Linked DNA regions of Canis lupus familiaris. The protein of the gene in region 3 binds, or shares a complex with, the protein of the main gene of each other region. Links are inferred from orthologs where the notes say so. Each region holds a gene or a part of one and is shown on either strand. Other genes may lie near its edges.

What was found.
Region 1: ITPR1 (region 3) and PRKG1 share a complex: the UniProt entries of both Homo sapiens proteins name them as parts of the cGMP kinase signaling complex. The link is inferred for Canis lupus familiaris from reciprocal best matches to the Homo sapiens genes ITPR1 and PRKG1.
Region 2: ITPR1 (region 3) and CNN1 share a complex: the UniProt entries of both Homo sapiens proteins name them as parts of the cGMP kinase signaling complex. The link is inferred for Canis lupus familiaris from reciprocal best matches to the Homo sapiens genes ITPR1 and CNN1.

The regions. Positions count from the first base shown.
Region 1 is NC_049247.1:36,003,173-36,006,822, forward strand, and holds part of PRKG1 (cGMP-dependent protein kinase 1), read right to left. Parts: intron 1,976-3,650; coding exon 1,853-1,975; intron 1,770-1,852; coding exon 1,707-1,769; intron 403-1,706; coding exon 336-402; intron 1-335. UniProt on the Homo sapiens protein: Serine/threonine protein kinase that acts as a key mediator of the nitric oxide (NO)/cGMP signaling pathway. GMP binding activates PRKG1, which phosphorylates serines and threonines on many cellular proteins.
Region 2 is NC_049241.1:50,228,064-50,230,853, forward strand, and holds the end of CNN1 (calponin-1), read right to left. Parts: intron 2,631-2,790; coding exon 2,564-2,630; intron 2,467-2,563; coding exon 2,329-2,466; intron 2,145-2,328; coding exon 2,034-2,144; intron 1,539-2,033; coding exon 1,392-1,538; intron 1,310-1,391; coding exon 1,064-1,309; 3' UTR 541-1,063; downstream 1-540. UniProt on the Homo sapiens protein: Thin filament-associated protein that is implicated in the regulation and modulation of smooth muscle contraction. It is capable of binding to actin, calmodulin and tropomyosin. The interaction of calponin with actin inhibits the actomyosin Mg-ATPase activity.
Region 3 is NC_049241.1:13,137,979-13,142,120, forward strand, and holds the start of ITPR1 (inositol 1,4,5-trisphosphate receptor type 1), read right to left. Parts: upstream 2,839-4,142; 5' UTR 2,592-2,838; intron 2,050-2,591; exon of another isoform or gene 1,986-2,049; intron 1,795-1,985; 5' UTR 1,724-1,794; intron 1-1,723. UniProt on the Homo sapiens protein: Inositol 1,4,5-trisphosphate-gated calcium channel that, upon inositol 1,4,5-trisphosphate binding, mediates calcium release from the endoplasmic reticulum (ER).

The DNA.
Region 1 (3,650 bases), on a different chromosome or scaffold from region 3:
TATGTATTATGAGAACAAAGAAACTGGTTGTTGGACCCTCCTTATGCTCTTCTGTCTACATCAATGTATATTTAACACTTACTCTACTAAAGGTCCACTCTTATTCACACGCAAAAGATATTAGAATAAATAGTTTAGAAAGGTAATGGTAAAACACACATAAAACGACCATCCCCTAATTGATCTGTTTTTTTAAGCTTGGATTTTGGTATCACTATTCGAATGTGGTACTTTCCCCTATAGTTTATTTCAAGGGATCATAGGATGAAACTTCAGCAACTGACATAAACACCATGATGTGCATCACACGAGTATAAACTGGGAAGTCTACTTACACTTGGTATTATAGGAGGTGTCAAGGTGCCTTTTCTTAAGCCTTCCCAATTAAAGCCCTCAAACCATCTAGGAAAGAAAAGAAAAGAAAAAAAAAAGGCAGCTAGTTAAAGGCATCGTATCAGCTAAAACCTTCTCATCGCAACATGGGTGATGGACATGTCTGGAGGAAAGCCGCTAGGCAAACATTTTCTATGAGACAAGAGTGTATTCTATTTCATTGCACATTTTTATGGTTAGGTTTTTAAAAATGTGCATTCCCATAAAATAAGTTAATTATTGAGATATTTAACACCCATTAGAAAATAACTCCTTTCCTCGCAATTTCAGGAAGAATGTCTGTATGACCTTGTTCCTACAGTATCATTATAATTTAATAAGTGTCATGATAGCTTGGCCCCTGAGTCTTATAGGACTTTTTTATTTTAAGGCAGTAGAATCAGGGCATGAAAAGTCAGGCTAGAAAATTACCCTTCTAGTTTTGCACCGATTCAGTGAGCGGCTTCAGTTAATTAACCTTTCCATATCACCGTATTAGGTCTAACTCTGACTTGGCACTTTTTTGATGTGTTCATAGAAGAAAACGTTAAATATGCAGTATTAGGGTCATCATAATCCCTAATAGGATGTCAACACGTTTAATTAAAATAGACTTACGGTACTTGGTGTAGTTTATCTGCAAAAATGAGGACCCAATAACACTAAAGTGTTTCGTTTTGTTTTGTCTTTAGCAAATGCTAGCACCAAATTCTTAAGCAGGTGTTTCAGGGTATTTATAAATAGTTCGATAAATACGTTCTTCTGGTAGGGATGTGCATTTTCTGTGACTGTTATAAACACAGGCTAATTAAAAAAACCTAATTTGGTTTTAGGTTTAGCCTTTGACTCTCCAGTTGACTAAGTAAGGTTTAATATTTAAGATGCTGCTACGGTTTGAGGAAAAAAAAAAAAAAAAACCCACTGTACCCTATATTTCTTTTTTCCCTTTATCATCTAATTAGGAAGTGGTTGGAAAAGTCAATTCCAGTTTTAGTCTGGGAAATGAGGCATGCGATGGTGGGGGTCCTTTGTTTTTGATATCCTGGCAGAGAATAGAATCCCAGAATTAAAAGTACACATTTCCTGTTCATGCCAGAGAGGAGATGTGCCATTAGGGTGAGTTTGGAGAAACTGAATTCAGTGAATTGGTCACTTGGTATGGCTTAGGGTCATGTGACGTCCCTGACACACAAGCAGAAGGGCTTCCGATCAAAGGTCTGGCGTCCCCTTGGATGTTCCAGTAGGTAGGCCGAGTCTACCCATCACACAGCCTGGGGCGCCTGTCCGTGCTTTCTGGACCCTCCAACGGAAAGGGACAAGGAAAGAACACTCACTTGTGCTTCTGAATGTCTTTCACGCCGTTTTTCAAATTCCCTAATCTTTCTGATGGGTTATCCCTGGAAAGACAATAAGAACTGTGAGGAATCTCATCACTTTCGCATTATGAGCCTTTCACAAATCACGAGGTTGAAATGCTTACCTGCAGAGTTTTTTAATTAAGTTAGCAGCATTTTTGGCAATCTTCTTTGGAAATTCTATCATGTCAATCCCCCTCAGTATGATGTTATAGGTTTTCATAGGATCTGGGCCTGAGAAAGGTGGGCTGCGAGAATGAGACGTGAAAAGAGAATCACTTTTTGTCTTCTTTTTTATTTTTTTAAGATTTTATTTATTTATTCATGATAGACATAGAGAGAGGAGGGTGGGCAGAGACCCAGGCAGAGGGAGAAGCAGGCTCCATGCAGGGAGCCCGACGTGGGACTCGATCCCGGGACTCCAGGCCTCACGCCCTGGGCCGAAGGCAAGCGCTGAACCACTGAGCCATGCAAGGGATCCCCACTTTTTGTTTTCTAAATAAGAAATCTTAAATTGTTTATAACCCCACAGACGACATCGGTTCTTATCTGGGGACAACTGTTGGTAGTGGTAACGGAACGATACGAGATTCATAGGAAAACGGCATGGAAACCTTTTCACGTCAATCGCTTAGCAAAACCCCACGGGGTGGGGGGGTCAAGTTTGTGTTCTCCTCTTGTCTTTCTAGTGCAGGGGCCGAACTCCCCTCGCTGTCTTTGGCCATGCAAGATGCTGCTTCTACTTTCTGGCCCTTTCCTTGTAATTGTCAGTTCACTGATTACACCTGAGATGAATTCCAAACTCACTAGAGCGCTCCAAGGACTTCCATGATAAGGATCCATCTCCTGCCAACCCTACCCAGGCCCACTGGGATTGGGACACCATTTCTGGTCATGGAACTGATCCCATGACCTCCACCAACCAACATCAAGTGTAAATTCAAGTATTAGACTAGATTGGTGCATTATTATTATTTTTAAGGATTTTATTTTCTTAATGCAATCTCTGCACCCAACGTGGGGTTTGAACTCACAACTCCGAGGTCAAGAGTTGCACCTGATGATGGAGTGTTTCTGCAGAACAGTCCTCCTCCTGCCCCTTCCTCCCTGGTCATCAGTCCTCAGTAGGTAACCTGACGTGAGGCTTCCTCCTTATTGGGAAGGATGTCATAGCCAGGCCCCCAGGAGCCAGATCCATCCCTGGAGGGTGGCCTTGTGCCAGGGTCAGGGGACACGGAGATGATCAAGACTGCACCTTCCAGCAAAGTGATACAACCTGGACAAATACTTTCTTTGGAAATTATCCTAATTATTCTAATACCGAGTTCATGTCTCTTTGGGGAAACATGGTGCGGATTATTATTTTTGCCCACCACGTTCCTTAATAGCAGTTCAAATTAGTTCCTTTTAAGGAGCAAGGTGCAAACGATGAGTTGCTTACAACAGGGAGGAGCAGAGGTGATTTTCTGAAGGCTGTGATGGTTGTTATTGCCTTGAGGTGTGGTCCCTATTCTCTATGACAAGTACTTTTTAAATGTTTTAATGTGTCATTCATTAGCCAGTCGTCAGTTTTAAATCACTTTAAAAATGTATAAATATACAACTCTAGATCACAGTAGAACTTAAGAATTTTGATGTGATACGAAGTTGAATATTTCATTTATTCTCTTCCACTAGCCTTGCCAGTTTTGATTTCTACTTCACAAAAGATCCACTATGCTGTTCTTCCTCATTTGTAATCAGTTTAACATTTTTCTAAAATTTAGATACATATATTTGAATTTATATTCTCTTAGAGAAAAAAGGATCATTTGTTAAACAGGACTTTTGTGGTTTTTACAAGCGATGTATTTTCAGTCCAAGATAGCCCTGCAGCATACAAAACATAAAATTAGAGGTAAAAATCCTCCAGCACCCCAAAAT
Region 2 (2,790 bases), about 37 Mb from region 3:
CATTTTTAGCTTCCCCATGTCCCCTGGAGGCTCCCTGTCTTCATTTTCCTGAGGGGGAAAACAGGCCTAGGGAGGGTGAGTTGCCCTAGGTGACCCAGCTAGTGGGAAGCAGGACCGTGATCCCATCTAGCCTGTCCCAGTGCTTGGGCTCTTTTTCACAACCCACAGGCTTCTCAGAAAGGCACATGAGGGCTGAGCATGTGTGTGTCGATATTGCGTATGTGTGCAAAGGTGTGTGTTGATGTGTCCTGAGTGGGAGTGCGTATTGTATGTGTATATCTGAAGGGGGAATATGTATGTGTGCCTAAGGCTGCAGAGTATGCACATACCATATACACAAAAGTAATGCGTGAGTGCAGATTTTGTTTGTGAGTTCCTGTCCTGGGTCCAGCCAGGTGGCTGTGAGCTCCATATGTGTATCTCATAAGTTTTTGTGTGTGCCTGTGACAATGTGCATGTGGGAGATGGAGTGTATCTAAGCAAGGCTGTTTGCACGTGTGCAAGAGCCACCCAGGCTCCAGGACAGAGCAGCCCTGAGACAATGATTTTACAGCCATTTATTGTGCTCCAGTGAAATAGAAAAAGAAAGTGCTCGCGTTAACAAACGCCGCTGTCACATCCACATATGCCAGTCGCTGCAAACCAAACCGCGTGTGTCCGCTGGGTCTCTGGGCATGCAGTTTGCTCCCACTGTGGGAATGGGGTGGGGGCAGGCCGAGCCTGGGCTCTGGGGGTTCTGCTTGGGGGGGACCTCTTGTCCTGGGGTACCCACCTGTGAGGGAGTGGGGGGACAGCTGGGGTAGCTTTGCTCAGTGCGTCCTTTGGGTGCTGTTGGGAACACCCGGCTCGATGGTGGATCCTGCAGCGCTCCAGGGAGGAGGGCCCCCTGCCCCCCCACACGCCCCCCAGTCTGTCCCCCCGAATGCTAACCCTGTAGGCAGGTGCCAGGGGGCTGGAGGACGCCATGCAGGGGGAGGGGGTCGGCAGGGCCAGCTCAGCCCTGCCAAGAGCAGCAGCCAGCCTCCCTGGGGGGAAGGCGGGGGGGGGGGGGGTGCCCAGGGCCCTAGGCAGAGTTATAGTAGTTGTGTGGGTGGTGGTTGTGGGCAGGCTCGCCCAGCTCTGGGTACTCAGGCGTCAGGCAGTACTTGGGGTCATAAACCTGACGCGGCAGCCCATACACTGTCATGCCCCGCTGTGAGGCCCCCTTGTTGCTGCCCATCTGCAGGCTGACGTTGAGTGTGTCACAATGCTCCATGCCCAGCCCTGGCTCGAAGATCTGTCGCTTGGTCCCGGGTGCAGTCATGCCGGCCTGTAGAGGGTGGATCAGTCAGGCTGTGGGGACAGTGGAGGGCAGGGGCACCCCAACAGCCCCCCAAGGTCCCCACACACACCTGGCTGGCTCCCTTGTTGGTACCCATCTGCAGACTGATGGTGGCCTGGTCCAGGGGTTGGTCCGTGCCCAGCTTGGGGTCATAGAGGTGGCGCCGGGTGCCATAGGCCGTCATGCCCTGCTGGCTGGCAAATTTGTTGGTGCCCATCTAGGAAGCCAGAAGGAGAATCATCCCAAGGCTTGCAGAGCCTCACCACGGGCCATGAGACATAACATGTCAGCAGAAACTTGCTCGGCCCTCCAGCGAGGCGCTGCTTCCCCTCTCAGGCTCCAGAAGCTGAGGCCCAGAGAAGGCATGTCACAGGAGCTGTAAGTGGCTCAGAGCACCAGGGCCTGACTTCCAGGGTTCAAGTCCCAGTCCCGCCACTTATTACCCAGACAGTCCTGGCAACTGACCTAGCTTCTCTGGGTACCTGTTTCCTCATCGGTGTAAAGGGTGTAAGGATAACAGCACCCACTCCTTAGAGCTGTCGGAGAAGTAAGTTAGTGTACCGAAAATGGCAGGCACGGTGCCCAGCATACATCTGCGTTAAAGCCAAATATCCTGTGCCCCAAAGCCTGCAGGGACCTGGGTGCCCTCCTGGCCTCCTTGACCTCCCCGCTCAGCACAGTGGCAGGACCCAGGTGAGGAAGGGGCCAGTACCTGCAGCCCGATGATGTTCCGTCCTTCTCTTAGCTTCTCGGGCTCAAATTTCCTTTCCTGCTTCTCTGCGTACTTCACCCCCACATTCACCTTGTTCCCTTTCGTCTTGGCCTGGGGAGGGCGAAGGGAGCAGGGACTCGACTAGAGAACCTCCAGGCCACACTGTCCCCTCCTGGCACCTGCTCTCCCCCTGCCACCTCCACCGGACTCGGGGGGCACAAGTGGCCCCACTCGCAGCTCAGACTGTCCACAGCCCCGCACCCCTGCGCCAGACCCCCCTCCAAGCCACACTTACCATGCTGGCCAGGGCCAGGAGGGTGGACTGCACCTGGGTGTGGTTGGTGTTCTCAAACAGGTCGTTGGCCTCAAAAATGTCATGGGGCTTCACCCCATACTTGGTGATGGCCTTGATGAAATTGCCGATGTTTTCCAGCTGGAGGGGGCAGGCAGAAGTTAGCGGGGCGGGGGGGGGGTAGCAGAGGGGGCGCGAGGTGGGGGTGGGAAGAGTTAAAAAGGATGTCTGGGCTCACCTGGTGCCAATTTTGGGTCGACTCGTTGACCTTCTTCACGGAGCCTGGCTGGAGCTTATTGATGAACCTATAAGGCGTCGGGGAGGGCAATGGGAAAGGTGAGCTCCCCTCAGCACCCACGCCCAACCCCAGGGGAAGAGGGGTCAGGATGACAGCTACTGGTCAATTTTTGCCATTTCCTACCACCTCCAGCTCAGCCAAAGCCCCCTGATCCACCCCGGTGGGGA
Region 3 (4,142 bases):
AGCCATCAAATTATTCAGACTGAGAAATACCGGATTCTTTTAACCTGCTCAGATGCCTTGATGTAGATGATCAAGATGGATTTCAGTTATGACATGAACCCAGTGCTGAACTTAGACAATGTTCCTCGTGGTGTGGTTTGATTTCGTTTACTCTCCTCATTCAGGGTTTCAGCATACAGCTTTTACAACTTTCTAAAACAAAATCAGTATGACATCTGATACCTCCTCAAATAGCCACACTCTTATCCCTCCATCTACAGCCACATCGTTTCCCTTAAGTCAAGGTAAGTATTATTACCCATTCACCACTGGTGGGACATAAGTAAGATTTATGTCATTAACCGAAATAAGTTTATCATTTTTCCTGGCTTCTCCCTTCACTTCTTCCCAACTTAAATGTGTCTGTGGAACACAGGACAGTCCCACAACCTGGCGTTATATTCCTTGCTTCCACTGTGCACTGGCTACTACACAAGTGTTCCCATTCTCTCTACTCCTCAGCTTCTTCACCTATACCTGACTCACGGTTTCTGTGATATCTGGCTCTGGACCAGGCTTACAAGGATTTAATGTGTCAGTATTATTTTTAGCAACAAGTTGGAGAAGAGTCTATGGATCAGTTTCTCCTGGTCTGTAGCTTACTCAAAAAAGGGGAACTTAACCCTTTCCTTGGCCTTTTGAGTGCCCAGGTAGCCTTGAAAGTCAACAGAATTCCAAGAATGAACTATACCCCACACATCCAAATGGTTCCCACTCCACCAGCACTCCTACGGATCTTATCAACAGGAAACAAAAGCACTATACTACTATAATGAAGTGTCTGCCTTTTATTTTCTAATTTAAAAAGCCCAAAGATTGTAACCCAGGGAACAGCTAAATATTTAGAAGGTTAAAGAAGTTACAAAGAGCTGGTCCTCCACCATGTTATTCTGTTGTCTACCCTGTTCCTCCTGGCCTTTTTGGAAGAAAAAACTTGTGACGGCCAAATCTGCAGCAATGGGGATATATATGCAGCTGTTAAAACCTCCCTTTCTTATGGTGCAGAGTCTGATCATTTGGGGGGGGTGGGGGCGGAATGACAGGAGCTGCTTGTCTTTACAAATAAATGCTACCCTCAACTCATATCCCACAATAAGCACCCAAACAAGAGGGACTCATCAGATTCCTTGACATTCAGGCAGCTTCAAGTCAAGGACTGGATGCCACTCTCTCACACTTCAAGAACTTCCCTTTTTAAAGTACTAATTCTTTCAAATTGCCAGCAACCACTTTCATTTCTTGCAATCGAACCTACTCTGATTAAACACACATTACAGCAAGAAAAAAGTGACTATTTTTGAAAGAGGCAGTTAATTTTTGCTTACGTATCTTGACAGATGAAATGTACTGCATCCTTCTGAATTTAAATCATCAGCACACTGCCAGGCACCAATGGGCATTTCTTTTATCGCTCCATCTAATGGGTTTTCCCCCCTCCTCTCATAAATGTTCAGGCTGCTTTAAGTCTGAGCCTGGGCCAAAAGTGCTAGCTAGGCAGGACTGCCCTCTGGATCTCAAATGCTCCCTAAAGCTCTCACAGAAAGCAGTGACAAATTTTGGACACTAAGCCTTGGAGTTTGCTTTTCTTTTCTGCTCCTAATCTCCATGGCTCTTTAGAGAGGACATAAAATACACTTAAAACAAAAAGTCATTACTGACTCCAGCACTCAGGCTTCACACTCACCTGACCGAGGTCAGGCACTCTGTTGCCAAAACACTCCAGCTGTGCGAATCCTGCTCCTCCGAAGCCAGCTCCTAAGTATTTAGAAAGAAAGAAAACTTAAGTATAAGACCAGGAAGGCGGGCCACTAAGAGCAATGTTTCAAATTGCAAACTGCCACCTTCTTTAGCCTTCTTCCTGGAGAGACACCCCTGCCCTTCCCCCAAACAAGACAGGAAAGCTTGGAGGGATCAGTTGGACAAAGATTACAGGTAACTTTGCTTACTTATTCCCAGTATGTAACTGACAAGTGAGACTAGGCACGCAAAAACTTGGAACGTGCAAATCCCAAAGCACTTGTTTCCCAGAGCCTAGGCCAAGTTCCGAAGCCCGCATCCTCACTGGCCGTGAGCTCCGTCCACACTTCATCCCTCACCGCTCCCCGGCTTGTCTTCCGTTTTTTAAAAACCCTCCCCACTGCTCCCTCCCCCCCGCCCTCCCCGCCATGCATTTTTCTCCCAACCGTGCAGCTCGAGGGAGGGCTACTTTTAAAAGATTGTTTCCTTGAGCGGACTCACATATGACACCCCCCAACACACACACACACACACACCAAGAAAACACCATTTCCTGCAGCTGCTGCAACAGTTTCCAACTTGGGGGAATGCCATTCCAGTCCAGAATGGGTAGCCTTCAAGGCCAGTCACTGGAATCGAGGATTTTTGTTCAGCCTCAAACGAACACCCCAAAAATGCCCCCAGCTAAAGAACCCCCAAACGCATGCAAGTGCATGCAAATCCATCAAGAACTCCCGGAGAGCGGGGCAAAAACTTGGGCGCCCGGGGAGGGCAGTGCCAACTCCCCGCGCCCTCTGCCCGGCCCCAGCCGCTACCTTGGTGCCCGGGAGCCACGCCGGTTTGGGGGAGCAGGGCGAGGAGAGGGGTTAGCAGCCGCTGGGTAATCCCATGTCCGCGAAGAGGGAGCTCGTTCCGTTAGGATGGAAACGGAACACCCACACCTCCTCTGTGCGTGCGCTTTCTCTCTCTCTCTCTCTCTCTCCACCCTCTGCCTCCTCCTCCTCCACCACCACCTCCTCCTCTCCTCCCACCCCAGCGAGCTTGAGGAAACGCTTCAGCAGAACATCCACATGGTTACTGCACTTTGAAGCGGCGCCTGACTGCTTATATAGGCCGGGACGCTCCCTGGGCAATGTAGTCCGAGCCCGGGGTCGTGGCGGCGCCTGGGGCTAGGGGGAAGGACTACGAGTCCCAGAATCCCCTGGGCTCCGGGCTGGGCTCTAAATAGAAACGCGCGGGGACAGGGAGGGGCGTCCTGCGGGGCGTCGGGGCTTCGAATCCGGCTGCTGGCGGAGCGCCGGCGGGGCTGGGAGCCGGCGGCTCGAAGCCACCCCTGGGGGGCGCCCCGGCCCTTGGGGACGCTCCTCTTCCAGCTGCCCCCTACCCTGGAATCCAGGTAGCTCAGGCAGAGGGGGGCGGGGAGCAGCTCGGGTTTCTGCTTTGGGAAGTTTTTACGAGCTGCTACCCACCCTCCTCCTCCGCTCCCCGCGCCTCGAGTTCCTGAGCCAAGAATTTCAGAAATCCAGGGCACAGAAACGCCAGTGTTTGCGGTCAAGGATTAAAGGCGCGAGGTTGTCTTTATTTAATCTGCTCCGCCCTGCTCGGGTTTTTGCACAGAAAACTAACTGTGGGAGCGACGGTCCGCGCAGGCGGGGACACGGGCAAGCGGCTTGCGAGCCCCCGAGCTGCTGGTGCCCTTCCTCGGGCCGCAGGAGGTGGACGAACGCGAGCCCCCCCCCCCCCCCCAGGTGCGCAAATAAGGGAGCCGCGCGGTGCGGGACTCGCGGGCGCGGAGATCGCGAGGCACGCAACAAATACAAACCGCGACCTAGGTCCTGACCCCGCTTCTAGCAGCCCCTTTGCTCCCCGGAGCTGAAAATGCTTAAGTCAATAAAGCGCCAGCCAGAAAAATCAGGGCTTCGGGGAGAGCCGCTCGCGCCCGCGGTGCGCGTCCAGGCGGGGCGCCCTCCAGCAGCCCCGACAGCCGCGTCTGGGAGGAGGTGGGCTGCTGCCCCCTGCCAGGGAGCGCCTGGGCTCTCGAGCTGCGTGCAAGCTGTTTGGCCTTGGGAAGAAGGGCAAAGGCTGAGCTAAGAAGCAAAGGCAGCAGGCTGCTCTCCCTTCCTCACACGATAGGCATTCGTTCCACAAACGTTTCCCTGAGTGTCTCCTGGGTGCCAGGCACTGTGCCAGGCGCTGGGGCATAGTGGCGAGCCAAAACACTTCACAGCATCCCAGGCAGGCACTGCCTGCTGCGCCACATAGTAGCTGTAACAACAATAGTAATAATGATAATTGGAGAGACTGATTTTATTGAGCCCAGACCACCTGCACTTTTCATGCATCGCGCTGTTGAGTTGCAACAACCC